Tamandua tetradactyla: one gene and its partners. The protein of the gene in region 4 interacts with the protein of the main gene of each other region in a biochemical or structural test. Links are inferred from orthologs where the notes say so. Each region holds a gene or a part of one and is shown on either strand. Other genes may lie near its edges. The genes, in order: BRF1, RBBP4, CDK3 and RB1.

Region 1 (7,792 bases), on a different chromosome or scaffold from region 4:
GTAGTGGAGAGGCTGGAGGGAACTGCCTGAAAATGTAGAGCTGTGTTCCAGTAGCCATGTTTCTTGATGATGATTGAACAATGATATAGCTTTCACAATGAGACTCTGTGAATGTGAAAACCATGTGTCTGATGCTCCTTATATCTACTTTATCAACAGAAGAGTAGAACATATGGAATAAAAGTAAATAATAGGGGGAACAAATGGTAAAATAAATTTAGTTTGAAATGCTAGTGGTAAAGGAAAGTGAGGGGTAAGGGGTATGGTATGTATAATCTTTTTTTTCTCTGTTATCGTTTTATTTCTTTTTCTAAATCGATGCAAATGTTCTAAGAGATGATGAATATGCAACTATGTGATGATATTAAGAATTACTGATTGTATATGTAGAATGGAATGATATCTTAATGTTTTGTTTGTTGTTAATTTCTTTTTTTAATTAATAAAAAAAAAAAAAAAATGTGGGAGCCGGGACCTAGCATCATGGGATTGAGAAGGCTTGCTTGACCAAAAGGGCAAAGAGATAAATGAGACAAAATAAAGTTTCAGTGGCTGAGAAATTTCAAACACATTCAAGAGGTTATCCTGGAAGTTATTCTTATGCATTATATGGATATCCCTTTTTAGCTTATGGTATTATAGGAGGGGCTAGAAGGATGTCCCTAAAACGGTTACACTGTATTCCAGTAGCCTTGATTCTTGAAGATGATTGTATAACTATATAGATTTTACAATATAAACATGTGATTGTGAAAACCTTCTGTCTGATGCTTTTAGCCAGGGTATAAACAGATAAGTAAAAGCAAAAATAAATAAATAACAGAGGAGGATAAGGGGTCAAAAATATTGGGTAGATTCAAATACTAATGGTCAATGAAAGGGAAGGGTAAGGGATATGGGATGTTATGAGTTTTTTCCTTTTACTGCTTTTTTCTGGAGTGATGCACATGTTCTAAAAATGATCATGGTGATGAATGCACAACTACGTGATGGCACTGTGAGCCACTGATGTATACTTTGGATGGACTATATGTATGAAGATAACTCAATAAAAACATATTTTTTTAAAAATGTGGGAAAGATTAAGTTATTTCCTGATAAACAAAAGCTGAGGGAGTTCGCCACCACTAGATCAGCCTAGGAGAGATGCTAAAGGGAATTCGGTAGGTTGAAAGGAAAGGACAACAGACAACAGATCAAAGCTGCGTGAAGAAATAAAGATCTGTGAGGGTAGTGAAAAGAGTAAAATATAAATGCCAGTACAACTGTATTCTTGGCTTCCACTTTTCACTTCCTACAGGATGAGAAAGACAAATGCACAAATGTAATGAGAAATCAGTGGTTTGAGACTCATAATGTAAAGACATGTAATTTATAGCAAGAACTCCATATACGGGGGAGAACCAGAGGAGTACAGAAACAGTTTGTGTGTAACACTGAAGTTAAGCTGTAATCAAAGCAAACAAGAATGTTACAGATCTAGGAAGTTAAATTTAGCCTTAAGGTAATTTCCAAGAAAATATCAAAGAATGTGCAAGCTCTGTACATAAATAAAGGCAGGAATTAGAGTACAGGTTGGCAGGGGTGGGGGGCTAAATGTATGACAGGTATGGGTCCTGCCATATTACCCAGCAGCCCACTCCTGGGTAGCCACTCTCGAGAAATGAAACTTACGCTAACCTGGAAAGCTATACACAGTCATTTAGGACAGCTCTGCTCATAATCACCTAAAACCAGCAACAATCCCAAATCTCCTTGGGTAGGTTGCTAGCCGAACAGCAGACCATCTGTTCCAAGGTGTTAGGGTTAGGTTCACGTGTTACCTTGGCCAAGTGATGGAGTCTAATCATCTGGTCAAGCAAGCACTGGCCTGACCGCTACTGTGAGGACATTTCATGAACTTAACTCTCTATAGCTGATATATCCACAGTCAACTGAGGAGCGCGCCTTCAACAATGAGAGACATCCATTCAATCAGTTTGAGGCTTTAAAAGAAGTGATGATTTCAGCACTAAGAACAGAGACTGCATCTCTACTTCAATCAGCAACCTCCTCCTGGGGAATTCATTGGAAACCTTTGGAGTTCTCAGCTTGCTGCCTGCCCTAGGGAATTCGGACTTACCTTAGAGCAACTAGAATAGATCTCATGTTTACATAATATATATCTATTTATCTGTCCGTTCTGCTTCCCTAGAAAACCCTAACAAAACCACATAGGACACTGCTCAGCAATATAAAAGATGGAACGGTTGATACATGCAACAACCTGGATGAATTTAAAGCCATTAGGCTGGCTGAAAGTAGCCAACTCCAAAAGGTTACATACTGTCTGGTTCCACTTCCTTGACTTTCCTGAAAAGATAAAACTATATGGCTGGAGAACAGATCAGTAGTTGCTTGGGCTAGGAGTGGAGGAATCTGAAACAATAAAAGGATCTCACAAGTTAGATTTTCCAACTGATGGAACTTTTCTTTAAACTCATTGCGGTTATCTGAATCTCTGACGGCATTAAATTCATAGAACTGTACTGTAAAATACATGCAATTTTACTGTTGTTAGTTTGGGGTGGGGTGGGGGGTGTCCACTGTGTCCAGACCACAGCCAGAGTCCTCTTGCTTTCTCCTCTTCTTGTAAATTCAATTTAAAAAATCAAAGTTATACAAGCACAGTTTAAAGAGCCAACCAGTTCTATAAAGCTCGTGACAGCCCGGCAGCCCCGCACCCCCGCACCCAGCGCCCCCTCCACTCCCCCTTCCGAGAAGCAACCGCGTACGACCCAGCAGCCTCGGCGTCTGCCTCAGTTTCTCCCAGAGACCCGGCCGTCGCCGTTCTCGGCCTCTTGCGGAGGGAGGGTCGCCACCACAGCCGCCGCGGCGCCTCAGGCTGACCGCCAGCCCTCCCTCGACGTAGCAGGCCGCCCCGACCCTGCGGGGCCTCCCCGCGCGGCGCCGCGCGCTCTTCCTCCCGCCAAACCTGCCCTGGAGTCCGCCGGTGCCCGACACCTGTACGGCCTGCGCCGTGAGCGCCAGACCCAGAGCTTGGGATTGCACCTACTGGCGCCCGCCCGCGGGGCAAGGGGCGTCGCGGGGCGCCGCGCCCGGAACCCACCGTCCAGCGACACGAACTGGCCCACGGCCGAGGAGCCGCCGCCGCTGTTCTCCACGAACTGCACCTCAGACACGATGATGTTGTCCTCGAGCACGGAGCCGCAGCTGGTGCACACGGCGTCGCCGCGCGCCGCATCCAACTCGATGTCCGTGCCGCCGCAGCCGCGGCACACGCGGCCCGCCATGCCGGCGGGGACCCGAGCGCCACCCGCCAGCCCCGCGCCCCCGCTCTCGCGAGGCCCGCGCCGCAAGCGCCGATTCGCAGCGGCAGATTCGCCGCGCCGCCAGGAGCCAGCAAACGGCCGGAGCCGCGCGACGCAAGCCAAGCCGGAGCTCGGGCGCGAGGCGAGTGTCGGCGTCCTGCACACCCGGGCGCGGCCGCAGGGCCTCGGGGCCACCGACCAGCAGAGCCGCAACTGGCCTGCAGGATATCGAGCCGAGGGAGGCGGTTGGCCCGGACCGGCCTGACAGCTGGAGGGGCGGGGCCTGCGGGGGGCGAGGTCGGTGGGGCGGGGCCTATCGGGACGCGCCTGATAGGACACGCACCCAGTGCTTGGGCAGGGCCTGGAGCGGAGTCGGCTGGGCGGGGCTGACGGGGGTGGGCCTTAGGGAAAGAGCCTGGGGGGCGGGGCCTGGGGAGCAGAATTGGAAGTGGAAATCCCATTCTCCAAACAGCAACAGACTTTTACAAAGAATGGTGAAGGATGGCTCCTAAATGCCTCTGAAAGAGATTATCTGCAAGAATAATCAAGCTCTAAAAGAAGAAACTCAATTAAGGGAGACGTCCTTCTGCATTTCAGAAAATCCTATCAAACTATGGCACTTAAAACCAGGTGGTATTTAGTTTCCTAAGGAACCGCCAAACCGTCTTCTATAGTGGCTGATCGATTACACATTCCCACTAGTACTACGAAAGTGTCCCAATTTCTCCACATCCTCACCAACATTTGTAGTTTCTTGTTTCCTGCATAGCAGCCATTATTATAGGTGTGAGATGGTATCTCATTATAGTCTTGATCTGCATTTTCCTTATAGCTAATGAAAATAAGCATTTCTTCCTGTGCTTTTGAGCCATCTGTATTTGCTCTTCCGAAAAATGCCTATACATATCTTTAGTCCATTTTATAATTGGGTTTTTCTTTTGTTGTAGAGTTGTAAGATTTCTTTATGTATACAGGATATCAAACCTTTGTCAGACGTGATTTCCAAATGTTTTCTCCCATTGAGTTGGCTGCCTCTTCACCTTTTTGACAGTCTTTTGAGATGCAGAAGCATCTGATTTTGAGGAGTTCCCATTTACCTATTTTTTCTTTTGTTGCTTGTGCTTTGTGTGTAAAATGTAGGAAGCTACCTCCTATTAGGAGGTTTTGAAGATGTTTCCCTACATTTTCTTCTAGAAGCTTTATGGTGCTAGTTCTTATATTCAGATGTTTGATCCACTTTGAGTTAATTTTTGTATAGGTATAAGGTAAGGGTCCTCTTTTATTCTTTTGGCTATTGATAACCAGTTCTTCCACTCCCATCTATGGAAAAGACTGTTTTGTCCCAGTTCAGTGGATTGGGGGGCCTTGTCAAAAATCAGTTGACCATTGATTTGATTGTCTATTTCTGCACTCTCGATTCAATTCCATTGATCAATACTTCAATCTTTGTGCCAGTACCATGCAGTTCTGACCACTGTGACTTTATAATAAGTTTTAAAGTCACTTAGTATTAATCCTCCCACTTTGTTCTTCCTTTTTAGGGTACTTTTAGCTTTTTCCCATCCAGATGAATTTGGTAACTAGCTTTTCCAAGTCTTAATTATATTTAATCTTCCTATCCATGAGCAGAGAATGTCTTTCCACCTATTTAGAACTTTTTAAATTTCTTTTAGCAATGTTCTGTAGTTTTCTATATACAAGTCCTTTATTTCTCTAGTTAAGTTCATTCCCAAGTACTCGATTTTTTTAGTTGCTATTTTGAGTGGAATTTTTCCTTAACTGACCCCTCAGTTAGGTCATTGCTTATGTATAGAAACGTTATTGATTTTTGCACATTAATTTTATATCCCGCCACCTTGCTGAATTTGTTTATTAGCTCGTCACTTTGTTGTAGATTTCCCAAGTGTAGTATCATGTCATCCGTAAATAATGAAAGTTTTACACTTCCTTCCAATTTGAATGCCTTGTATTTCTTTGTCCTGCCTGACTGCTCTAGCTAGAACTTCTAGTACAACATTGAATAATAGTGGTGACAGAGGGCATCCTTGTCTTCTTCCTGATCTTAAGGGGAAAGCTTTCAGTCTCTCTCCATTGAGTACAATGCTGGCTATCTGTCTTTAATATATGCTCTTTATCATATTGAGGAAGTTACCTTTGATTCCTATCTTGTGAAGTGTTTTTATCAGAAAAGGATGTTGAATTTTGTCAAGTGCATTTTCAGCATCAATTGAGATGATCGTGTGATTTTTCCCTTTCGATTTGTTAATGTGCTGTATTACGTTAATTGATTGGTATTAGTTCATTTTAGAATGTTTGATGAAATTCCCCTTAAATGAGTCCACTTAAATGATTCCACTTTGCAATATGTGAGTCTATATACCTGTAGAGGAAGAAAACTGACAATTTAAATGTTTCTTTAAAAAATCAGAATACATTGGGCACTATGTTGCACCACTACTGTATCTTTTTGAAAGAATTAACATTATTTTCTTATCGTAAAAGTTAATTCTGATGACATTTTCACATTTGCCAGACTGCATTTTTTCCTGTATTATTTGCATCCCCATATATTTAATACAAATAGATTTTGCATGGCTTGGGCATTCAGAGACTAATAGAATAATGACTCAATTTTCATTTCTAAAGCCATGAACAGTTCTGAGACTGAACAATTCTGAATTCCTATTTATAACGATACTTAGTGTCCGTGTTTTCCTACTGTAAGGAATTGATGAGTTTCTTTAAAACAGCAAGAACATATTGAATCTTGTAAATACTAAGTCTCTCTTAGATTTCTGTGTACACTGTGAATGAAATTATTTTGAGATGAAATTGTACAAAGACATTTTAAAAGGCTAAGCATGCATCATACCGCCAAACAGTACATATTTAGAGTCAAAGATTCCTGCAAAATAAATAATAAACTAAAAGCAAAAAAAAAAAAAATTCCCCTGTGAAGCCATCTGGCCATAATTGCTGTGCTGTGCTGTGCTTTGAAATTTATTGCTTTTTTGTATATATGTTATTTTTCACAAAAAAGAAAAAAAAGTTTATTGTGATGATAAAAAAAAAATTATTCCTTGTAGCCTCCTATATTCTGGAGGAGCTTGAAGGAAAAATCTTGAGAGGATTGTATGGTAGCCCATGACAAACTCTGGGATCTGTCCTGTAACCACTTGTTGAAGAATGCTTTGAAACTATTGCTTTTTTCTTTCTTTGCTTTGTATATACGTTATATTTGACAATAACAAAAATGAAGAAAAACGACAGGTGATATTTATAGAGGGGCATACAAATATACAAGTGAAGTAAAACCAAGAGTCCAAACAAACCCGAGTAAACATGCAAACCAGCTCCCCAGGCACGCTTTCCATTTCCAGGGCGAAAGTGTCAGTTGAATTCCTGCCTCACACTGTTTCAGAAACAAACGCCAACTCACATTAAAAGCTACAGCTAAAATTACGGGAGTATTAACATCATATATGCTGGCACCTGAACCCCTTCCTAGTGGGGCAGCCTCCAAGCCCCCAGCAGGCCAAGGCCGGGTACTGAAGTCCCAGCCACCTTCGCTGCACGATGCAGGCGAGGGAACCAGTGAAACAGTCACATGATGCTTCCACGGGCGCAAAAGCATGCGTGCCACACGAGAGGCTAATGCCAGAAGAATGTCTCTGCTTGGAAAAGTCTGAACTAGTGGCTTGCCTCCTCCTCCTCCTTCTTCTTCAAAGATTTTAACTCCATGAGTTTACTTATTAGGCTTTTCTTTTTCTTTTTTTTTTTTAATCAGGTGCATGGTCCTGGAAGGCTTTTCTTCTTTAAGAAAATATTTCAAGCATACCAAAAAGCAGAGAGAAAACAGAAAAGTACCCAAGGAAACAGCACTGAGATACATCAAAGTTCAGCATTGTCACATATATGCTATTTAGCTCAGCTCATTTAAATAAACTGTCTCTGGTGACCATTAAGGACACAAAGCCCAACAACCCAACTGTCCATCAACAAATGAATGGGTGAGCAAAGCGTGCAACATATACACAATGAAGTACTATTCAGCCAGAAGAAAGAATGAAGTTTTGAGGCCTGCAGCAACATAGAAGGACTATGAAAACTTCATGCTCAGTGAAATATGCAAGACACAAAAGGAAATATCTTGCATGATGCCACTGATAAGAGATGACTAGAAATAGCGAATTTACAGAGATAGAAGTTGGTATTTACCGGGGGATCATAGGAGAGAAGAGGGAGTGTATGCTGGGAAAAAGTAAAACAAAAAGAACACAGAGTATGCATCTTCCAAGATTCCATTGCTCCCTGACCAGAGAAAACCACCAGGCTGTACTGGACAGTCATCAGTGCCATGGAACTGTTAATATTTTATGACTATCTGTGTCTCCATAAACAATGTATACTATTGGTTTGCAAGATTTTAGGTTTTACAGAAATGATCATATACGTAACCTTCCACAACTTACTTTTTTCCC
Region 2 (7,632 bases), on a different chromosome or scaffold from region 4:
TTTTTTTTTAAAGGAAATGGATAGGGATATGAACAAAGATTGGAAAAAAACAAACAAAAAAATGTAAACCCATCTTAATAGAGCTAATTATTTGTGATCCTCATCTTAAAAACAAGAAAATGATGTTACATTGAGTAAAATGCAAAAAGAGGTCTGGAGCAATGTCAGACAATGCAGAAAGACTTACCTAGATCTGCAAAAGTAGAAAACTAAGATGACAGTGCACAGGATTTCAGCCTTGGGGAATATAGTCTAGTTCAGTGCTTTCTATATCTGGTTAATCACTACATTACCTGGGAAGTTTTAAAACATGGGTTCCATCTTTTGTTGCTCAGATGTGGCGTCTTCTCTCCAGCCAACACAACAAGCAAACTCACCGCCCTCCCCCTGTCTATGTGGGACATGACTTTCAGGGGTGTGGACCTTCCTGGCAACATGGGACAGAAATCCTAGAATGAGCTGGATTTAGAAAACCTTCTCGACCAACAGGGGGAAGAGCAAAGTGAGACAAAATAAAGTGTCAATGGCTGAGAGATTTCAAACAGAGTCGAGAAGTTATACTGGAGGTTATTCTTACGCATTAAATAGATATCACCTTATTAGTCAAGATGTAATGGAGAAGCTGAAGGAAACTGCCTGAAAATGTAGAGCTGTGTTCCAGTAGCCATGTTTGTTGAAGATGATTGTATAACGATATAGCTTGTACAATGCGACTGTGTGATTGTGAAAACCCTGTGTCTGATGCTCCTTTTATCTACCTTATCAACAGATAAGTGAAACATATGGAACAAAAATAAATGTTAAAATAAATTTAGTAGATTGAAATACTAGTGATCAATAAAATGGAGGGGTAAGGGATATGGTATGTATGAACTTTTTTCTGTTGTCTTTTTATTTCTTTTTCTGAATTGATGCAAATGTTCTAAGAAATGATTATGATGATGAATACGCAACTGTGATATTGCGAATTACTGATTATATACGTAGAACGGAATGGTCATATGTTAAGAATGTTCATGTTTGTTTATTGTTATATATTTTTTTAAATTTAAAAATAAAAAAAGATACATATTATTAAACAAAAAAACGTGTTCCAGATGATTTAGAAGGTCTGGGATGGCTAATATTTGGGACCCACTGGTCTAATAGACATAATTTAGCACATGAGTAAATACGGAATCATCATTCACTTAGGAACTCTGCCACAAGAATCTAAATAGTTTCAACTATCACTAAGAATTTCTGACAGAAACAAATCCATTTATCCTGAACTCACTAAGTAATTCTGATGATAAGCCAAACATGGTTAAATTTCTAAGTATTTATTATGGTTTTAGAAAACATCCTTAGGACAGATTTCCTCATTTGTTCTTCAAGCCACTATGAAAGAAATAGCTTCATTCTTAATGCCTGCTGAGCTGAATCACAGTCTCACAATATTTTGCAATAATCTTGACTTACTAAACCAGAGTTTGAATGAATTTAGATGCTATTTCTTCCTGAAACTTTTTTTCATACTCTTGGGTTGAGGTAAATTTTCCTTTCTCATCATTTCATCAGCACTACTACTCTTATGGTAATTTTAGTTATTTTTACTGTTTATATGCAGGAAATCAATGCAGGGAAATTGATATCTGGTATCCCCTGATATCCGATAGCTACTAAATCCTTAATAAATGTACATTAAGTTAAATATTTAATCTCCTCTATTGCAGATTTAAGCTACTCACTTCCAGGAAAACATGATTAATCTCTATTACCCTCACTATGCCCAACTCCATTCACATGAAAACCATTCCACCTTCACGTTGTTTTCTGCTCTCACCTCCTTTAATTGTAACTGCTCTAACTTTCTAATAACTAATAATTATTAGTTTACGTCTGCCTCTTTGAGTAGTCTGTGTGCTTCTTGAAGGCAGGTACCATGCCATACTCATTTTTTATATTCAACAGTTACTACTGCGAGACTGGGACTGTTAAAGAGTTCAAGCAAGTTCTGCAGAAAGAACTGGACACATACTCCTTTTTGAAGGCTGACAAGTTTTACATTTGGACAACTATAGCTTTAACATGGCTATACACATAATACACACATGTACATAAATCTATAGTTGTAATGTAGCGACTCAATTCAGTATCAGAGGCAGACAATGCCATCAAGTTTTCTCTTGGGTAAGTCACAAAACATTTTCACATTTTGCCAAGTTCTTTGACGTAAGAAAAAAAAAATATCAAGTGACCCGGAGAGAAGAAAATAGGGAAAACAATACGGAAAAAAATCAATGTGAAAAACTTCATGAGGGTCCGCCAAAAGAAAGTTTAAGAGATTCGTATCACCTGGTTACATCTGGAAGCCACTGTGCAGTGAGGCTGGGCCACTCCAGAGCATGGGTCATGACCAAATCATAAAGAAAAGGAGTGTTCTTTTTCCATATTTTGTACTCCTCATTGATCACACGTTCTTCCACTGCGTCATCGAAGGCTGCTAAAGCATTAAAAATAAATGAAGTTAGCAAACACAAACGGAAATCGAACACACTGCTACTTGAGTCGATTCTGAAATGGGGGGAGGAAAAGGGTTGCCCAAAGCCCCTCTAGGCAGTGGCACTAACACTCCTTTACACCTTGGCGGGATGGGGGCCGAAAACTACCCTGGGTTCACCCCAGCCAAACACCCCGTTATCCACTGGGTGTGACGGCTCCCTGGCTCTCGCACGCTCTCCTACGCCGTAATCTACAGTACCAGCGAGGAGGCCCGAACACCGACCCTTGGGGATAGGGAGCCGCGGAATGAGGCCCGGGAGAGAATACACCGATAGGGTGCGCAGAGAGGCTGCCGGGCTGCTCGAGGAGGGACTAAGCACCGCCAGCTTCAGCCGGCTCCGACGGGCAACCCCCTCCTACTGGCGCGCCGTTAGCCCGCTCAGTGGGGAGTTTTCCTCACGCTTTCGACGGTGGGAACCGCATTCTGCAAAACTGGGCCTGCCCTCGCTGTTAGGCCGTGTCGAGGCCGCGGCACAGACATGACTCCCCTCGGCTCTCCTAGGGCGGCCCTGGCACCCTCACCTTCCTTGTCGGCCATGGCGGACAGGCAAGCGAGGGGGTTCGCGGAGTTGAGCGTCGCGGGAGGGGCGGGGAGGCTGGAGGCGCTTGCTCAGCGCGCTCGGCCTCTATTGTTTCCTGCTGCCCCTGCGTGAGGCCCTACTTGCGCACCTTCGCGCCAACATCGGCCAATCGGGGCGTTCCGAACAGTGGAGTGGGCGGGGAGCCACATTCAGAGCCTATCCAGACGCGCAGAGTCGCTTTACGCGAGGCCGAGGCGCGCGCTCCGCCCCTTCCCCTATTCGGCTCTCGCTGACTTCCTTCGATTGCGCGCTCGGAGGGGTTGGTGGGGCTGGCCTCGCCTAGGGTCACGTGACAGAGATTTAGCATTGTACTCCCCTGGGCGCAGCCATTTCCTTCAAGCCAATTAAGCTTGCGACCCCTTCTAAGTACTCAATTGAGAAACCCTGGATACCTTTGGGGGAGGCAGGACGGCTCCTGTCACTCTGACTTAGGTAGTGTCTAATTCAGGTGCCTCCTATTTCCAGAACCTTCAAGTTGTTTGTTTCTTTAATCCTAAAAAAGGACTGATGAATCAAGTGCAGGAAATGAGGACTTGATCATTTAAAAGTGTATTCCAAGCGGCTGGGCCTAAGACGGAAGGCTTAGCGGCTAAACTACATCCGCACGCTACGAAAATGGAGTCCTGGTCCTTTAAAGGTGCGTGCCAGGCGACGAACTCTAGAGCGGAAGTTGTAATGTAGGGCTGAAGTCTGACGGATGAAGGGCGGAAGTAGACTACGCAATGTTCCACTCATGGCGGAGCCGGAGGAAGATGTGAGAGACTACAATTTGACTGAGGATCAGAAGGCAATCAAGGCCAAGTATCCTCCAGTCAATCGGAAGTACGAGTGTAAGTAGGTGACTCTCCTCTCTCTAGATAGGGGCTCACTGGCATCCCCTGGCTTCCGGCCTTGCCTTTCACCCCTCGCCAAAAGTACTTCAGACATGACCTGATTCCTCTGTGTATTGTAGTCTCTTTTGTACCTGTCGGAGTGACGCTAAAGAAAAGAGCCACCTAGTCTGAGATTCGAGAAAATTGGGCTCGCACATTTAGTCTGTTGAACTTTCATGTATAGATACTAATCATGTGTATCTTGTGGATTTTACTAGTGTATTATTTCTAAAGATAACCGTATTTTCTAGTGTTTCGAGGTTGTCGATGTCAGTTATCTCCAACAGTGGGCATGTATCTCCAACACGAGGATAAAGTGTTATCATGTTAGGAATTGAGAAAGCCAAATCAGGAACTTCTCATTTGGTGTTTTATATGGGTCGTGATGCTAATAAAAAGACGTGTTTTTTTATCATTCATTTGCTTAGATTTCAGGCAGATCACATAGCTTGTCTTTGCATCTCAGTTCCATCATAGTGCACATCCTCTACAAACGCTGTTACCATCTCTGAGGAAAATGTAGTTTGGGGAGCACATTTTATTTCCCTGATTAAAATCTTGCCTTGATTTCCCATTGTCCTCTGGATAAGTCTTTTATCATATTTTAATAGTTATATATAGAATTCAACAGGTATGCAGTGAAAAATAAGCCTAGAATAACCATTATTACCATTTTCTCATGTGTATGTGCAAAGATGTCGCAGCATTTACTTTATTTAAAACCAGTTTTCAGTATACAGGATGTTTCTGCTCTTCTGTTACCAGCAGTGCAGCAGTGAATATATTTGGACATCCGTGTTTTGCATATACACAAGTGTATCTGTAGAAAAACTTCCTGCAAGTTGCTTTGTCAAAGGATCTGTGTATTTTTAACTGTAATAGTTATTGCCAAACTGTTCTCCATAGAGGTGTTATAACAGTTAACACTCTCACTAGCAATGTATGAATGTATTTCTTTTCCCACACTTTTGCCACTTTTCGGTGTTATCATACTTTTTGGGTTTTTAAAATTTGTTATGTATCTTGTCATACTATCTACATTTTTCTGATTATAAGTGAGGTTAAGCATCTTTCAGTATGTTTGGGACTATTTGTGGTTCCCTTCTCGGAAGTGTATGTTCATATTCTTAACCCATTTTTGTATTGCATTGATGCTCTTTTATATTTAGAAATTTATTTTTATGTAGGTAAAATTATTAATCTTTTCTTTTTATGGCGTCTGGGGTGTCAATGTAGGAGACCTTACCTAGTCAGAGGTTATAATTCTCTCATGTTTTCTCCTAGTACATGTGAAAATAAAACTTTTATTGAAGTACAGTATGCATATAGAAAAATGTGCATAAATGAATTTTCACAAACTGAATATGCTTGTATAACTAGTGACCTGATTAACAAAATATTATCAGCATCCCAGAAGCCTCATGCTCCCTTCCAGTCACTACCACTCTCACCTGTCATGAGCCTGGCTTCCAACACCATAGATTTGTTTTGCCTGTTATTGTGCTTTGTGTGAATGGACTCACAGTATGTACATTTTTTTTTTTTGCTCAACATTGTATTTGTGAGATTCATATTTTTCTATATTGTTATAGATTGTTCTTATTTCTAATACTTACTGCTTTTTAAAGAAACATTTAAATCATAAATTGATCAGAATTGAGGTAAGGTGGAAAGTGAGTATCCAATTTAATTATTTTCCAGATGACTCACCAGATATTCTAACATCATTTATTCAACAGTTGGTTACCCTGCGATTGAAATGCCACATCTTTATCACATACGGAATTCCCTTACATGTAGTTGGTTGTGTTGCAGAACTTACCGTTCTAATCCTTTATCCTCTCTCTTTTTGTGCCCATGGTTTAATTATTGGGAATTTATGCTATCTTTTAATATCTTGTAGGACAGTTTCTCCCCCAGTACTTGCCCCTTTCTTGCCATTCTTTCTTGTTTATATATAGATAAAAATCAGCTTGTTGAGTTTGAAAAAAAAATTTCTACGGGTATTATTTTTTGTTAATAATAAACTTAGGGAGAATTAAAGCTTTTACTTTGAGTCTTTTTCTCCAGCAATAAGGTATGTCTTTCCATTTGTTCAAATCTTATTCTGTATAACCTCATAGCATTTCATTTTTTTTATTGCTAATGTAAATGACTTTTCTTCCATTATATTATCTCTGTGGTTGTTGATAATATATGTGAAAGCTCTTGAGTTCTATAATTAATTTTTATAATGGCACTTTATGAATTCTCTTATGGTTAGTATAATTTTCAGTTGATTCTCTGGGACAATTGTCTCCAAACTTTTTTCATTGCACATCCTGAATTATGTATATTCTACTATATGGTCATAACCAATGCATTATAAAACATTCAGTAAAAACAGCAATTAGGAATGAGAGAAAAAATAAAGTTTAAAATGTAGTAGTTTAAAATTGTGCAAAAAAACCTTTTTAGTCTCACAAAAATCCCGTTAATATTTTTATATTATGTTTCATGATTATATCTATAGAGATGACCATATATTTACCTGAATTATATGAACAGATTTCCTAAAATTGAATCCTCTTTGCAATCCAGGAATACTAAATCCCACTTAGTTGTGGTGTATTATTACTTTAATGTGCTATTAGATTCTATTGTGAACATTTTTAATAGAATTTTTACACTGATGTAATGTGAGATTAGTCTGTATTTTCTTGCAGCTTCCTTTTTTTGCTATTGACCACCCCTAAATCTACCTCCAAAGTTTCCTTGTAGCCCTGTTGTCCTTTAAGACTCAGATTAGTTGATCTCATGTATTCATTCAGCGCATATTACTGAATACCTATCATTCAGCCTGTATTACTGAGCACCTATCATTCAGTGTGTTACTGAACAGAAATTAGGAAAAAAAGAGCAAAGCAAATATAGATAGTCCTCAGTTTCTTGGCACTTACAGTGTTTAATCTTGTTTCCTTCAGGAATTCTTACCTGAACCCCTTAATCTAGGTTAGGTTTATCTCTTTTTCTCCTATAGTAGTAACAACTCTCAAAGTATGGTTTGTGGGCCCTAGAAATGATGTCAAAACTATTTTCACAATAATACTAAGTTGCTAATTGTTTTTGTCACTGCTTTGATATTTGATACATTGGTGGTGGGAAAACAGTATTAGGTTAAACTTCTGGCACTTTAGCACAATCTGAGGCAGCAAGACCAAAAGTAGTCGTAGTCATTGTATTCTTTACCACCACATACTTGCCATTAAAAAAAAAAGTCATTTTCACTTATGAATGTCTTTGATGAATCAGTAAGAATTACTAATTTTATTAAATCCTGACCCTTCAGTATACATTTTTAAAATAATCTTTTTAATGAAAGCAAAAGTATTACAAAATGTTTCTCCCATATGTGAAGTAAGATGGTTACCTTGAGAAAAAAAACTTATGTAATAAAGTTGTAAGCTGAATTGGCTGCCACGAGTGTTTGGCTGAGATTTTCTTGAAAATAGATAATGTGATCTGTCCTCAAAAAAAAAAACAACTGACGTATTTGTTGCCAGTGATGAAATTCAAGCACTCAAATGAAAATTAGGATTTTGGAAAACTCATGTCTGCTATCCTGAGCTTGTTGGCTTCCCAGTACTTAAAAGACT
Region 3 (7,574 bases), on a different chromosome or scaffold from region 4:
ACATCCACGGGAAGCTGGACTCACAGCCCGGAGACAGAAAGACTGCATGGCTTTCCCTAGACCCAACATCAAATTAAAGAGAGAACTAAGTCCTCCAAGCCTATGTGGGCAAGAACTGCTGGCTTTGACCAGTTTGACCTGGGACCAGTCCAAGTGGTTATAAAAGGGACTGCAGGGTGGGGGGATGAGGAATGTGGCAGGCACGCAGGCAACAGGGAACAGCCTGTTGTGAACAGCCTCATGTGAAGACTGCCCAGCATTGACGGTACTACAGGGAATACCAGGAAAGCTTGCCGCTTGGATGGGGTAATAACGGCCACAAGGGGAAAGAAGTAAAAATACAAGGAGTAAAGGGCAAGTCTCAGGGTATAAAAACAAAACTAACTGGAAAAAAAAAAAGCTAACTGGAAAAGAGGAGCTTTATAAGGGCAGATGAACTTTGAACTTATCATGCAGCGTGGCTTCCAGATTAAGAATCAATACGCACAAGGACAGGGACAAGCCAGTTATATAAAGGGTCAGAGAAGAGATTAGTGTGAAGCCACAGCAGGTGCGGGTTATGTAAGAGGTCAGCTGGCCGAGGGGGTCCTCCCGGCTGGGGCAGCAGCCAGGGCTACCCTGGCACCTACCATAAGCAGGTCCTTGCCCTCTGGCTCCAGAGTGGGCACAACCTCCTCCAGCCCCTTCCTGGTCCACTTGGGGAAGCTGCCCTTATAGTCAGGCAGCTGGGTGACTCCTGGCCACGTGGCTTCACTGGGTGTCCCCAGGGTCCGAAAAATACGAAAGAGCTGGTCAATCTCAGAGTCGCCTGGAAACAGTGCTCTGCGGGTTACCTGGACGGGGCCAAGGAGAAAGAGTAGAGCCCCTGCTGGTCGAAGAGACTCTGCTACCAACGAGCAGCCAGAACGAAGGGAGTGACCCTCAAGATATCTTTCCCAGGGCTTTTCCTGGGATGAAGCCCCTTCCTCAGTCTGTTAGCCAGTCTCAAACACCCCTCAACCCACCTCTAATAGGAAAAGCAGCGAGCCCCGGCTCCCAGCAGGCGCACCTGCCTGCACGCGCCTCCCCCCCACACACACCCGCGGCAATGCATTGTCCCTCTTTACCATCTCTGCAAAGATGCAGCCAATGCTCCAGACATCCACAGCTGTCGAATAGAACTTGCTGCCCAGGAGAATCTCGGGGGCACGATACCACAGTGTCACCACCTGAGGGACAAGAAAACAGAGCCGTTCCTGGGTGCCATTCCTCCAGCTGCCCTTCTCTCCCCCTGACCCAGCAGTACCTCGTGGGTATAGGTGCGCAGGGGCACCCCAAAGGCGCGGGCCAGACCAAAGTCAGCCAGCTTGATGGCTCCCAGCTCATTGATGAGCAGATTCTGGGGCTTCAGGTCTCGGTGGATGACCCGATGAGAGTGGCAGAAATTCACCCCCTGCAGCAGCTGGAAGAGGTAGTTCTGGAACAGCAAGCACGGGAAGGAGCCAGCTGAAGAGGCTGGGGGCTGGCTCAGTGGGTTGATACCTCATCTTCCCCAGCCCTGCCTTGGTACCTTGACTAAGTGCAGGGGGAGCTCAGATGCAGGGCTAGAGTCCATGTACTTCTTCAGGTCCTGGCTGAGGAACTCAAACACCAGGTAAAGCTTCTTCTCGCTATGCACCACATCCAGCAGCCTGGCAAGGAGACGCCAGCGATGCAGCAGCTCCTAGCTGGATTCAGGTAGGCTTGGCATTCACTGTTCCAGTTCCCTGCCTCCTCTGCCCACTTACCTGACGATATTGGGATGGTTAAGTTCTTTGAGCAGGGAAATCTCCCTGATGGCGGTGCTGGGGACTCCCTCAGTCTCCCTGCAGGGAAGGAGGGCACAGCTGTGAGCAGGCCTAGAGGCAGGAGCTGAGGGAGCACTTCTGTGTTCCTTATTCCTGTAAGGATGGCCCACCCCCAGCGAATGGGAGCCTGTGTGCCTCGGCACCTACTTACAACCCATCTGAGCCTCAGGGAGCTGGGCCCAGGGGCAAAGCTGGGCCAGAGGGAGGGAGGAGGCAGTGGGTTGGGGTGAGGACACGTTAGGGTTGCATCTCCGTGGCTGCCTGAATAGAACTAGGCAGCACTCACAGAAGGAACTGAGCGCAGCATTCTGAGATGAGGGAATGGACAGGGCTGAGTGGCCCTGGGCTGGGTGTTTCTCGGGGGCCGTGCCAGCACTCACAAATCCAGCCTGATCTTTTTGAGGGCCACGAGCTGCCCGGTCTCCTTGTTCTTGGCCTTATACACCACCCCGTAAGTGCCTTCTCCGATCTTCTCGACCTTCTGGAACACATCCATGGCCACAGAGCTGCCCGGGAAACAGATGGCGCCCGGGGCGTTCGCCCCCCACGCCCAGCCCCGGCTCCCCCCTCCAGCCTCCTCATGGCACCCCTGCTGAGCACCCCCCCCCGGGCTTGCCCAACTCCCCGGGCCTGCGGCCCACAGGGCTTGCCCCGCTCTGCGGTCCCGGTGGCGGCCGTCCAGGCCCAGCTCCCCGCCCCTGGTGTCCCCAGCCCATCCCTGGGCACCTGGCTCGGGGCTGGGGGCTGCCCCTTGCCCAGCCCAGGCAGGAACCCCCTGTGCTCTTGCCCAGTCCCCAGGGGGAACCGGACGCTGCTGCACTGCGCCCTGCTACGGAGTACAGGAGGGCCCAAACTTCTCATGCCCAGGCCCAAGCCCCTGCCCCCCCCCCGCCCCCCGGCCCGGGCCCCGGGGTGGGAAGGCAGCTCGGAAAGGCTGCCCAGGGGCTGGGGATGGCTCGGGTCAGAGGTCAGGGCTTGGAAGGGTGGCTGGAGCCACAGACTAGCCCTAGGCCACACAGTCCGCTGAGGGGGTAGACCCGGCCCGTTTGGTGATGCTTGGTCTTTTCTTAGGGCAGAAGCTTGTTGGGGGCGGCCCCCCAGCATCCCGGGCCCCCCACCCGGGCCCCTGCGCCCCAGCACCCTCCTCTCAGTGCCACCCTCGCCAGCCCAGACGTCACCAGAAACTGCGCACGCAGCAGCCTCACTGCTGACAGACTCCGGCCCCACGGCGCCCCCTCCTGGCCGCTGCCGAAGCATCACCACGTGCACACAAGCCCTGCTCACGCCCTCTGGCGCCTTTATTCACGAGGACCTTCTGGAGTTTTCCATGATGGCCTGGGGCCCCCAGTGCCCCAGAGCTCGGCCTCCAGCAGCCTTGGGGGGGTGGGGCGGAGCGGGCAGACTTCGGGGCCTGCTCTCCAGGATCCCATTTCCGGGACAATAATTATGGAAAGGGGCCAGAAGAACAAGCCCTCCCCTCTACTCTCTGGTCCCAGCAAGGGCTGTCACTCCAGGGAGAGCGTCTCCATCCACCGCAAGGTTATCTCCTGTTGGTTTGGCCCAGGATCCGGTGAGTGTGTGAGGAGGTGCATGGCTGGGAACTGCCATTTCCTATTGGGAGCTGTCCCTTTCTTGTCGGTACAGCCTCTGTTCCTGGATGGCTTGTTCCAACAAGGGTAGATTGATCCCTTCCACACAAGTCAGCAGCCGGGCCTTCACCACGGAACCTCCATCTGAAAGACACAACCGTCGAGGCACTAGCAGTGATGGCCCAGAGTGCCAGTGACACGTGCTCCAGGAGCATTCTAGCCGTCTTCCCTCCATTTACTTAGTCCTGAGTTTTGACAGCGAGGGGTGGAGGCAAGAAGGACGGTATATAGAAGTTAGCAACTTGTCAGAACTGTGACCTGCCACACACTAACAGGCACATGTCTGAAACTTAGTGGGTGGCCTGAAAATCCCATTTAACCTGGGAAGGGATTCCTAGGCTTGAGCCCAGCTTTCTACATCCTTTGTCACCTTCATCTCAGCCACCTTTTCCATAGGCCCCATGTGCCCCTGGTCGAGGAGGGGATGTGCCCCTGGTCGAGGAGGGGTCTCAGTCACTATCCTAGGTCTCCATTTGTACTGAGGTTAGGGCCCCCTTCACACCCTGGGACCCTCTGGCATTGGAAATTAGGGCAAAAGAAAACCCATATTTTAATATATCCAAGGGGCTGAGCTCCAGGAGAGTTTGGCCTCACAGGGGTAAATCACCTCAAGAAGCCCTATCTAGCCCCTCTTCCAGGGCAGGCTGGAAGTCATTCCATTTACACAGGCCTTTCACAGACAGATTGACAGCAGTGTCCAATTGGTCCCTTGCAATAATCAGATTTCTAGAGCTCACTTCCAAGTTTAATTTCCAATGCCAGTAGGTCTTCTAGAAGATGCAGTGGTGACCTGATGGAATATGTCAACATTCAGGTGACATCAGACAGGAAAGATGTTCTAGTTTGCTAGCTGCCGGAATGCAACACACCAGAGACAGATTGGCTTTTAATAAAAGGGGATTTATTTTGTTGGTTCTTCAGAGGAAAGGCAGCTAACTTTCCACTGAGGTTCTTTCTTACGTGGAAGGCACAAGATGGTCTCTGCTGGTCTTCTCTCCAGACCCCTGGGTTCCAACAACTTTCCCTGGGGTGACTTCTTTCTGCATCTCCAAGGCCTGGGCTGAGCTGCAAGTGCTGAGATGAGGAACGCCGAGCTGTTTAGGCTATGCTACATTGCGTTCTCTCATTTAAGCACCAGCCAATTAAGTCAAACGTCACTCATTGCAGCAGACACGCCTCCTAGCCGACTGCAGATGTAATTGGCAACAGATGAGGTTCATGTACCGTTGGCTTATGTCTGCAGCAACAAGATTAGGTATGCTCACCTGGCCAAGTTGACAACTGAATCTAACACAAAAGACATCTGGATTCACCCTCGAATACTTTTTCTTTCATTCATGCTTTCTCTATTCTCTCAGCACGTCAAGAAGTACACTCGATGTCCTAGGACATTACCCTGTCTATTCTGATGTAGCTTTGTGATAGAGGCTTTCTGATGCGATAAAGTCTAAACCTAGTCTTTTTCGTCTAGGCCATCTTATCAATTTAATGTAGCCTGGGTGCAGATTCTAAACATCAGACTGTTAAGCCTTAATACAGGGCTCCTCTTGGAAGATGGAACTTGTCTGAACCACGAAGTAGCTTGGGTGTCACCAAGCTTCTGTTATTAGCACCAGGCTGCAGTGACGACCCAGAGAGGATGAGCGTGACAACCTTCTGCAGCCACTGATCAGTGCAGACGGTGGATTCTTAGTGCTCAGCCCCCTTTAGGAAACCAATAAAGCAGGACGTCTGCCAAATCTTCAGCTGGTCCTGATAGACCTAAACCTTATCTTGCCACCTAAGTACTCAGAGTAGTCACAGATGTTCAGGGCAGCACAGGGAGAGCAAGGACAAAATCAAGGAGCTCTAAACCCCAACTGGAGCTGCTGAAAACTCAAAAATGGGGGGGAAACATCAAATTTGCAAACTTCCGATATAAAGACTTTCTTAACTGTCTGGCTCAATTTCACAGAAGTTTCCTTACATGATGCCTTTCTTCTCAGCCTGGGGAAACCCTTACCACTAGATTTTTATTGTAGAACATGTTGCTTCTCCCTGTGAATGGAAAAAGCTATTAAATATGGAAATGAGCTTTTTGAAATATGATTATTGCAAAGGACAAATCACAATACTGCTGGTCCATCTGCGGAAGGCCCCTGTAAATGGAATAAAAAGAACTGTGTTTGAAGAAGGGCTGCAGGGAAAGGGGAAAGTTTTTGAACATGACAGCTAGGAAAAGTGAATGGGAACTGGTCATTTGGGAGAATTTCTTCTTGCAAAGATAAAGAAGCCAGAGCTGAGAAAGGATCATAGGTTACAAAGGCCAGCCCAGGACTGCTGAGTGAGGGATGAGTGAGAGATAAGGAAAGGGAGATAATGGAGAACAAGTTTGACTGTGAAGGGAAGGAGGAGCCTAGTTAGGGAAGGGTGCAGAGTGAAAGGTGATTATCATTTTAAGTCAGAGGAGGCTCAAGCACATTATATGCTGAAAGAAAAGAACCAGTGCAGACAAGTTAAGTGTACAGTTGAGGGTGGAATATGGGAACTCTATATTTCATACATGATTTTTCTGTAAACCTATAACTTCTGTGATAAAAAACAAGAGAGAACACAGCCCCTGCAGGAGGGCAGTCTGGGGGTCCGAAGGAATGGATGGGCGTTTGGTGGGGTGGGGTGGGGGGAGGCTAATGATGAGTGAGGGGCATATGATCTTAGGAGGAGGGACTGCTCCTGGAGCCTCCATTTTACATAGGAAGTAGGTGGGTCATCTGCCGAAAGGGATGGGGGAAGCTAGGTAGTAAGAGGTCCTATCTGATGGCGGAGGGGTGGGTAGCATGGGAGAGGGGCTTGACTAAGATGCCTGGAGGGACTTCCAGGCAATGTGGAGGGTTCCCAAGAAATGAGAGACACTGAAATCATTGTGCTGCAAATTCACCGAGTTCTGTGGTCCTTCTTCACTCAATAATCCGGGGCAGGATCAGAGAAGTGGGGAGGTTGGGAGCTAATCAGTGTGATGGAAGGAGGGCAAGAGGTTGCACTTTCTGCCAGAAAGGGGAGGAACTGAAGGGGAGAGAGAAGTTGGGAGAAAAGTCCAGGAATCCAGAGGCCTGGTGCGGCTGAAAAGGAGGCAGCAGGAGGACGTGCAGGGACAGGAAGGTACCAAGAGGTGAGGGAAGCCTACGCCCCACGCCTCCATCCAGAACATTAAGTTCTCAAGCCCTTGGGTGTCACAAGAAAATACAGGAATGCTGTAGCATCGGGTGGCAAAGGTGGGGTAGTTCTAGGGAAGACAAGGTCCTAGGTGAGGCCCCAGTGCGAGAGGCAAAGTGAGGCAAAGGTGCCTGCTGGTAGAACTGGCTTCCACCGGGGATGGGAAAGGTGTGCGGTGACAAACCACAGGAGCCACAGGGATCCAGGCACTCCCTCTGGGTTTGGTGGCCTGAGCAGGACTGCCTGAGGAAGGTGGTAGTGGGGAAACTGCCATCCTGGGGAAAAGCCAGGTTTCAGTCAAATCCCGAAGAAGGTGAGAGCATAAGAAAGAGGCTTGAGGAAAGGCAGACAGAGGGTGGAATGGGGAGATGAGGTTCGATGGAAGAAAACCAAAGGGTGGTGGGATTTATGGACGGCCACTTGCTGTGGCCGGTGACCTCCAAGTATACAGCAAGGAGGTCTGATGGAGAGGTGAGGGAAGCCTACACCCCATGCCTCCATCCAGAGCATCAAGTTCTCAAGCCCTTGGGTGTCACAAGAAAATACGGGAATCCAGGGCAAGGGGACTGTTCTAGTTTGCTAGCTGCTGGAATGTAATATACCAGAAACGGAATGGCTTTTAACAAGGGGAATTTAATGAGTTGCTAGTTTACAGTTCTAAGGCCGAGAATTAAAACAATTAAAACAAGTCTATAGATATGTCCAATCAAAGGCACCCAGGGAAAGATACCTTGGTTCAAGAAGGCCAATGAAGTTCAGGGTTTCTCTCTCATCTGGAAAGGCACATGGTGAACACGGTCAGGGCTCCTCTCTCAGCTGGAAGGGCACATGGCAAATACAGCATCATCTGCTAGCTTTCTCTCCTGGCTTCCTATCTCATGAAGCTCCCCGGGAGGCACTTTCCTTC
Region 4 (7,599 bases):
CAAATGAAAAAGTATATATAATAGGCAAACACTTATAAGTCAAAATGATATAGTAAACATTTGTTTCAAAGGTTTGCACATAATAGCACTATCCTGAAAGACAGCATTACTAAGTACTTTAAGATATTAATTTCATCTTTGAAAAAATTATGCTTTAAATTTAAACATATTTATCTTTCATTGTCTTTCCAAACAACGAAAAATGTGTGCTGACACAGTGAACCTATTATACTTCAGAGCAGTAAAATAGGTTTGTGAAGGAAAGTAAGGATAATAGCTAAAGTTATTTGGGAAAATAAGGTAATGACAAAAGCAAGAAGAGATAAGCCTACAGATGACATTACAGAATCAATTCGATGCCAATGCCTTCATTAACATAAGGCCCATACTTATCAATGTTTCACATACCTCTATCTTGTAGCATTTCTTACTTGTGATTAATAATACACTTTTTTCAACCCTTATTCCTTGATCTTCCTTAACCAAGATAAGCATTATCAAGGCTAACTCCTTTTCATTAACTTAATAAACATATTTTTATTTTATTTTAGTTTTTAATAATCATATTTGCAAGTGGAATAGCTAATAATTTTTGAGTATTTACTACAACCCTGCACAAAACACCTTACATTCTGGTTTCACTGAATTCCCACGTCAGCCATATTAAGTAAGTACTCTTACTCTTATTACCCTTGTCTTACAGATGAGTAAGCCAAATCAGAGAAGTTAAAACACTCACCTAAGGTTTCTGCCAGTAAGGGAGGATTATGAACCTAGCAGTCTAACTCCACAATCCATGTTGCAGACCACTATTCTACACCGCCAAGTCTTCCTTCAAAACATAATTAACTTTTAGTTATCTCAACAATGAAGGTGGCGTGCTGTTCCTAGAGACAGATTCCCTTCCAACCACATCACTTAAGCCAGAGATGATGCAACAGAAACATGAACTCAACTCTTTCTCAAGGCAGAAATGGACGTTTGTTATTGGAAATGCAGGTGGAACTGGGCCCTGAATTCATCCCAAATCAAGTTTCTCAGCCTCGGACTGCCTGGCAGTGGTCATAATCTTGCTAAGTAGTTAATGTACAGCTTTTGATTACCCATGAAAATGGATAAGAGCAGATATATCACGTATCGTTTTGAAATAAAAGGGTTTGACAGGAGAATTTTGTGCTTCCATTACTTGAAGATAAATAAAAAATGTGTTAAAAAAGGAGGGGGGAGGGGGGAAATGAAAGAAATAGTCCTTCTTTTCTCAGGTGATAACGCAAACTTCAAATATTTCTGGTTACCCTATGATAATTCTTTAGAGAAGCTATTTACTGTTCTTCCCAAAAGGAAATTTTCAAGTATTGTACACATCAGAGTTAATTAGAAACTGGTAATTTATCTCTCAGAACATCCCCCAAGACCTGTTCTTTTTTCCTGGAGGGTATGATTTTTTACTTGACCCATAAGACAGTGGGTCACTGTCTTAGATAAGCATTATCAAGGCTATTCAATAAAAGAATTTTTTATCATCTTCAACAGGCCATTTCCAAAAGCCGTTCTCAATCTTTCACAGTTTGGCATGACTGTGTTGGTAGCAAGAGAATGGAAAGAAACCTACAATTAAGCGTGGGTAACACGGGACCTGGTGATGGACAAGAATGGAGGAGGGAGTGGTGAGAGAGAGAAAGGAGTCCGATCCTTCTGCAATGAATCTGCAGTCTCAAAGCAGGACCAGCGCTGATAGAAAGGAATAAGGACAAGTACATACTATTCAAATTTAACTACTTACCAATGTAACACAATCAAGAAAAATAGGATGCTGCAATACAAATAAATATCTCCTTCATATATATATATAGACTTCCTTGGATTTAGACCCTACTAATTCCGGGTGGGAGAGTTCCATGTGCACACAGCACATCACCAGTTTTGTCCCAAAAAATAAACAAAAAAAGCAAGCAAAAACAAACAAAAACAACCAAAAGAAGCAGACGCCGCCCGGAGCCTTGTTTCCGAAATGGCAAAAAAAAAAAAAAAAAGGCAAAATGGAAGACAGAACGAGGTATGTGGAAGCAGACTAACGTTCAAAAAGAATTTTATCCCGAAAGAGAAAAAAGAAAAAGTTCAGAAACTTTTCAGCACTTGCGCTCAATGGCTCAGAAAGATTTTGCCACCTCTAAAGAGTTCCGCGCTGCCAGTCTCTACTGACGCCTCCGAACCCCAAACAAGAACCTCGTCCAAAAACGTCTCGGCAGCGTCCGCGGCTTTTGCCGCCTCTCCTAGAATGCAATGCACACCCGGAGGAAAATGCTTGGAACCAGCATCGCAGGGGCCAAAACAGAAAGTCCAACTACCGCCCGGGTGCAGCGTCTTTCAAGGGGAGGAAAAACCGCTTCCTTTCCCGCTGACGCCGCCGGGTCGTCGTCCCGCCCGTGAGGGGCTCCCAAAACCCCGCCATCTCCCCGCCCTGCAGAAGGGAAGCCGGCACCTGTCAGTTCGCTCAGGGACCCGAGCCCCACCCACCGGACACCTGTCAACCTGGAGCCGACACTCTTCCTGGCGACTCCGCCCGCGCCCCCCGAACCCGCTCCCCTGGCCGCGTCTTTCCGACACTCCGCGGTGGCCACAGGGGCGCGGAGAGCTAGCCTTCTCCCGCGGGACGGGGGCTCCCCGCGAGGACGCCGCGGCGCCTGCCCGGGTGCTGGCGGCGGCGGCGACTCGGCTCGCTCACCGGGCCACAGGCAGCTCCTCGGGGCCGCTGTCCTGCTCGGGGACCTCCTCAGGAGGGGGCGGCAGCGGCGCCGGGGGTTCCACAGCGGCGGCGGCGACAGCCGCTCTTCGGGGGGTTTTGGGAGGCATGACGCCCTCCTGGGGCGGGAGCCAGCGAGCAGTGGAGGACGGCAGGGCAGGGGGCCGCGCGCACACGTCGGGGTACGCCCCGTCCGCGCTCGGCTCTCGTGGCAAAATGATTTGGGCGTCCCCCGAGAAACGCCGGCCGAGCGCTCCCCCGCCCGGCACCCGAACCCCGCGTCCAACCGCGGGAAAACGTCACTTCCGCCCGCGGCGTCACGTCCGCGAGTCGCTCGGGCCCGTCGGCGTCTCGCGGGGCCCCGGGCGCCCAGCGTCGGGCGGGGGCGAGCGCGAGCGGGGCGGGGCGCGAACGCTGGTGGGGTGGGCCGCGAGTCCCGGCCTGTGGAGGCGCTGCCCAGGGGCGGTCGCCGCCGCGGCACCCTGGTTCTTGCCCTTACCTGCCCTTTCCAGGCTGGGGATGCCCGGAGTAGGGCGTTGAAGAAAGCCTGGGGGGTGAGATTGGGCCCCCAACTCTTATCTGCGAGCCGGATCGGCGTCCACGCGCGAGTGCGCGGTGTTATCAGGCTTCTGCACCCTTTGGCCTCGGAACCAGGTCCCGCCTGCCCAGTCTGTTAGCAGGGTGGGTCAAAAGAAGAACTCCTGTTCTGTTCCACAGATACTTACAGAACACTAATCACTAGAGGATATGAAATGTAGGACAGTTAGAGGCTTTGGGGGAAATCCCTGGATAGTGTAGGCAGAGGGTCTGTGGGTAAAGAACAAGTAAACAGGATAGTGTGATAAATGTCTTAATAGTGGCATAAAAATAGGAGGGTCTATCCACATATCTGCGAGATCTTCAGAGGGAAATGGCAGTTGAATAAAATTTGCCGAACACACTACTGTATGTTTCTCGCTTTCACTTTCTCTCTCTATAGATAAACCTTCTTTTTAATGAGGGCTTGCTGTGTGCCAGTAACGTTGCTAGCCACTTTCCATGATAATCTTATTTAATCCTCAGAGGCAACCCTTCAAAATCAGTAGTAGTATTACTCCACTTTCCAGATGGGAAACCAGGCTCAGAGGAGCTCATTAATGTGCCAGGTGGCACATAGCTGATGGATGGCGAAAGATTTGAACCCAAGTATATTCACCCACTTATCCATTAGGTGATGCTAATGAAGAAAACACCAAGAAGAAAGAAATGATGTGTGCAAAGGCATCAAGACCTCAGAAAGTTTGTTGTGGCTACGGCTCCCAAACATTGGCTTGAAAACTGCATGGTTTGTGTTTCTTGGTGTTTATTTATAACAATGCGTTTTCTAGTTGAAGTACATGTTTTTCTCAATCTTGCAGATGCTGTTGATTGCCTAGCTCAAAACTACCCATTGGAGGTGCTGTGAATGATGTTCAATTGTGCTCCACTGTAAATCCCCTCATCCTTGGAACAGCTGAACAGTATCTGAAGCAGCCTACATTTTCAGATAGTTCCTGGCAGAAAGCTTCATACATTTATCCAGTGTGCCATACCAAGGATTATCATTTTCTATGTATATCATGTGTGATGGTTAGGTTCATGTGTCAACTTGGCCAAGTGATGGTGCCCTGTCTGGTCAGGCAAGCACTGGCCTAACTGTTACTTACTGTAAGGACATTTTGTGGCTGGTTAATAAACCTGAGGCAGGTTTATTAAATCATCAATCAGTTAATTGCATCTATACCTGGTTATTTCTACTATCAACTAAGGGGAGTGTCTTCCATAATGAGAGAAGCCAATCAGTTGAAGACCTAAGGGAGAGGTGATGATTTCAGCAGTCAGAGGAGAGAATTTTTATCTCTACATCACCCAGCCAGCCAGCTTCTCCTTTGGAATTCATTGAACCCCTTCATTGTTGTTGCCAGCCCACAGCCTGCCCTACAGAATTTGGACTCTTGCATTCCCATAGTTGCATGAAACACTTTTATAAAATTTCATATGCACAGATATCTCCTATTGGTTCAGTTTCCCTAGAGAGCCCTAACACATCATTATATACGGCAGAATGTGAAAAAGATTAGCAAGTATTGGCCTACCCAACAGCCAGTCCCACCTAACTTTAGAAACCTGTCTTAGGAGGCCAGAGCTTATCAGGAGAAAGGATCCAGGCCCAGCCACAGCCCTAGAGAGTGAATCTTATTACAATGGTAAACCCCATTCACCTTGGCTGGGATTGGTTTAGACAGGAGCTGTTTTAGTTTCCTAGGCTGCCCAAGCAAATACTATGAAATGGTTCTCATTAAACAATGGAAATTTACTAACTCATAGGTTTGAAGCTAAAAGAAAGTTCAAATCAAGACATCAAGGTGATGCTTTTCCCCTGAAAACTGGTGGTCTGGGGCTGGCTGCTGGCAATCTTTGGACCTTAGTTTGTCACCATGGCAAGACATGGCAGCATCTCCTGGTCTCTTCTCTCTCTTCTGAGTTCCCTTGATTTCAGCCTCTGGCTGCTTTCTTTCTGGCTTTCTCTGTGTGTGTCTGAATTCCACTCCACTTATAAAGGCCTCTATATTAGAATTAAGACCCATCCTGATTGAGATGGGCTACACCTTAACTGAACTCAACTTATCAGAAAGTCCTATTTACAATGGATTAAATTTAAGAACATGTTTTTCTGGGTAATACAGCTTCAAGCCACCATAGAAGCTCAGGATGTAGTTTTTGGCCTTTGGATGATGAAGGATAGTTTGTTGGGAGGCTGATTAAATGAAATACAGGGATGACATTTCTTCCTCTACCTCTTAACTCTTGTCATGAGGATATGACACTGGAAACTGCAGCAGCCACTGTGACCTGAGGCAAGCAGACCAGAGAATAAGGCAGAAATGCTGAGGATGGTGCAGTAGGATTATCAAAAGAATCTGGAGCCTTGGTGGCATAAGTGAACCTCTGATTTGACCAACCCTGGAGCCGCCATAGACTGAGCTGGAAATTTCCGTAATTTGCAGAAAGTATCATGACTGACAATACTTCTCCTATGATCCCCTTCAGGATGGAGTCCAAATCTTGGGCATCTTTGGAGCCCTAGTCCCTAACTCAGTGTTGGGCAGTAGAGAGGGTAGGAGAGGTGAGGAATGTTCTGGAAACTGAAGTAAGCTCTCTTTATATAACTTGCTTTATTTAAACCCAGTTTATCAACATCTGAATTTACCACAATTAGGATAAAGAGACATTTCTCGATTTACAAAAAGATGTGTATCTTTACCACGGATTCCTTTCACTGTGTTCTCTTGTACTTTTTAAGTGTATTTTCCTTACACACAATGCAGGAGCAATTAAGTAAATCAAAATCATCACATCTCCCCCGCAGTTTTTTGTTGCATTACCGAATAAGTGTTAGATGTTCTTAGTTTCTTAAAATATGTTTTCTCTGATCTTCCCTCACCTCCAGAGTAACTTTAAGAATAGTGTCGCCAGACCAAAAAACAATCATTCATAGACTTGCCATCTGTAGAGAGAACTACAGATGCCTCTTCCATGATACCTCTTCCATGATGCCTCTTCCATGATACCAGAATACTTTTTGTTTTTTTTGAGTCTCCTGTAATCTAAAATTTCTTCAGATTTTTTTGCATCCCCAAGCTATCAGGGTATTTCCATTTCTTTAGCTTCTTGAAAGGGTAGTCCCCATTTGTTCTCTCTGTTTTCTCATTCCTCAGCTCACTATAATCTGGCTTTCTCCCACTGCCACCACCAGCTCTCCACTGAAATCACTCTTTCAGGGGCCACCAATGTCCTAAGAGATCACTCAATGGCTTTTTTTTTTTTTTTGCTTATATCTTTTTATTTTTTTAATGTTTAAATTTTATTGTGTTAACATCTATACCACATAAAAATTCCCATTTCACCGCTTTCACGCATATAATTCAATAGCACAAATTATATTCAGGTTGTGCTATGATCATCACCATCCATTATCAAAACCGTTTCATCACCCCAAAGAGAAACTCTGTGCTCTTTAAGCAATAACTCCCAATTCCCACTGCCCTGGTAACCTCTAATCTTCTTTCTGTCTCTGATTTTTTTTTCAATTCTAAATATTTCATGTAAGTGGAATCATAGAATAGTTGTTTTTTTGTGTGCCTGACATAACTTAGCATGATGTTTTCAACATTCATCCATGTTGTAGCATGTATCAACCCTTCATTCCTTTTTATGGATAAATAATATTCCATTGTATGGAAATGCTACATTTTGTCTATCCATTCATCTATTGATGAACGTGGGTCATTCTGCCTTTTAGCTATTTTGAATGATGTGTCTAAGAACATCGATGTACATGTATCTGAGTCCACGTTTTCAATTCTTTTTACTATATACCTATAAATTGGAGCATTGGATCTTGTAATTCTAGTTTTAATTTTTCTGAAGAACTGTCTGTTTTCCCAATGGCTTCTTTTTTGGTTCTTAACTTGTTTGAACCTTCTTATGTTTAACAGTCAACCACCTCTTCTTTCTTAAAAATTCCCTTGTCTTCCAAAAGTCCCTTGTCTTCTTGTTCTTTTCCCACCTTCTGTTACTTCATAAACTCCTTCCCCAGTTCTCCTTCTGCCAGTCTCTTAAATATCACTGTTCTCTAGAGTGGTGCTACTCAAAATGTGGTCCTTGAATCTGTGCCAAGATGACAAATTCACCTGATAATTCCTGTGCCAATGAAAAAGTACCTGCTGCTAGAGGCTCTCTCAGAAAATGGCTGGGAATAGGTTCACTATAACAGCTAAAATTTACAGAGAGCACATGGTCTGTATAATGATGACAAGTCCCTAATTTGGTCTTGG

What was found.
Region 1: the proteins of RB1 (region 4) and BRF1 form a complex in vitro, tested with the Homo sapiens proteins (2 studies listed by BioGRID). The link is inferred for Tamandua tetradactyla from reciprocal best matches to the Homo sapiens genes RB1 and BRF1.
Region 2: the proteins of RB1 (region 4) and RBBP4 form a complex in vitro, tested with the Homo sapiens proteins (2 studies listed by BioGRID). The link is inferred for Tamandua tetradactyla from reciprocal best matches to the Homo sapiens genes RB1 and RBBP4.
Region 3: of the proteins of RB1 (region 4) and CDK3, one has a biochemical effect on the other in vitro, tested with the Homo sapiens proteins (2 studies listed by BioGRID). The link is inferred for Tamandua tetradactyla from reciprocal best matches to the Homo sapiens genes RB1 and CDK3.

The regions. Positions count from the first base shown.
Region 1 is NC_135340.1:87,367,056-87,374,847, reverse strand, and holds the start of BRF1 (transcription factor IIIB 90 kDa subunit), read right to left. Parts: upstream 3,296-7,792; 5' UTR 3,294-3,295; coding exon 3,110-3,293; intron 1-3,109.
Region 2 is NC_135328.1:193,217,339-193,224,970, forward strand, and holds the start of RBBP4 (histone-binding protein RBBP4), read right to left. Parts: upstream 3,217-7,632; 5' UTR 3,083-3,216; coding exon 3,067-3,082; intron 2,486-3,066; coding exon 2,338-2,485; intron 1-2,337. Other genes in the region: ZBTB8OS (protein archease), read left to right, coding at 3,823-3,955. UniProt on the Homo sapiens protein: Core histone-binding subunit that may target chromatin assembly factors, chromatin remodeling factors and histone deacetylases to their histone substrates in a manner that is regulated by nucleosomal DNA.
Region 3 is NC_135332.1:16,404,371-16,411,944, reverse strand, and holds the start of CDK3 (cyclin-dependent kinase 3), read right to left. Parts: upstream 3,091-7,574; 5' UTR 3,005-3,090; intron 2,333-3,004; 5' UTR 2,323-2,332; coding exon 2,207-2,322; intron 1,845-2,206; coding exon 1,767-1,844; intron 1,671-1,766; coding exon 1,550-1,670; intron 1,457-1,549; coding exon 1,286-1,456; intron 1,209-1,285; coding exon 1,107-1,208; intron 834-1,106; coding exon 630-833; intron 1-629. UniProt on the Homo sapiens protein: Serine/threonine-protein kinase that plays a critical role in the control of the eukaryotic cell cycle; involved in G0-G1 and G1-S cell cycle transitions. Interacts with CCNC/cyclin-C during interphase. Phosphorylates histone H1, ATF1, RB1 and CABLES1.
Region 4 is NC_135330.1:109,981,709-109,989,307, forward strand, and holds the start of RB1 (retinoblastoma-associated protein), read right to left. Parts: upstream 3,041-7,599; 5' UTR 2,854-3,040; coding exon 2,726-2,853; intron 2,461-2,725; exon of another isoform or gene 1,784-2,460; intron 1-1,783. UniProt on the Homo sapiens protein: Tumor suppressor that is a key regulator of the G1/S transition of the cell cycle. The hypophosphorylated form binds transcription regulators of the E2F family, preventing transcription of E2F-responsive genes.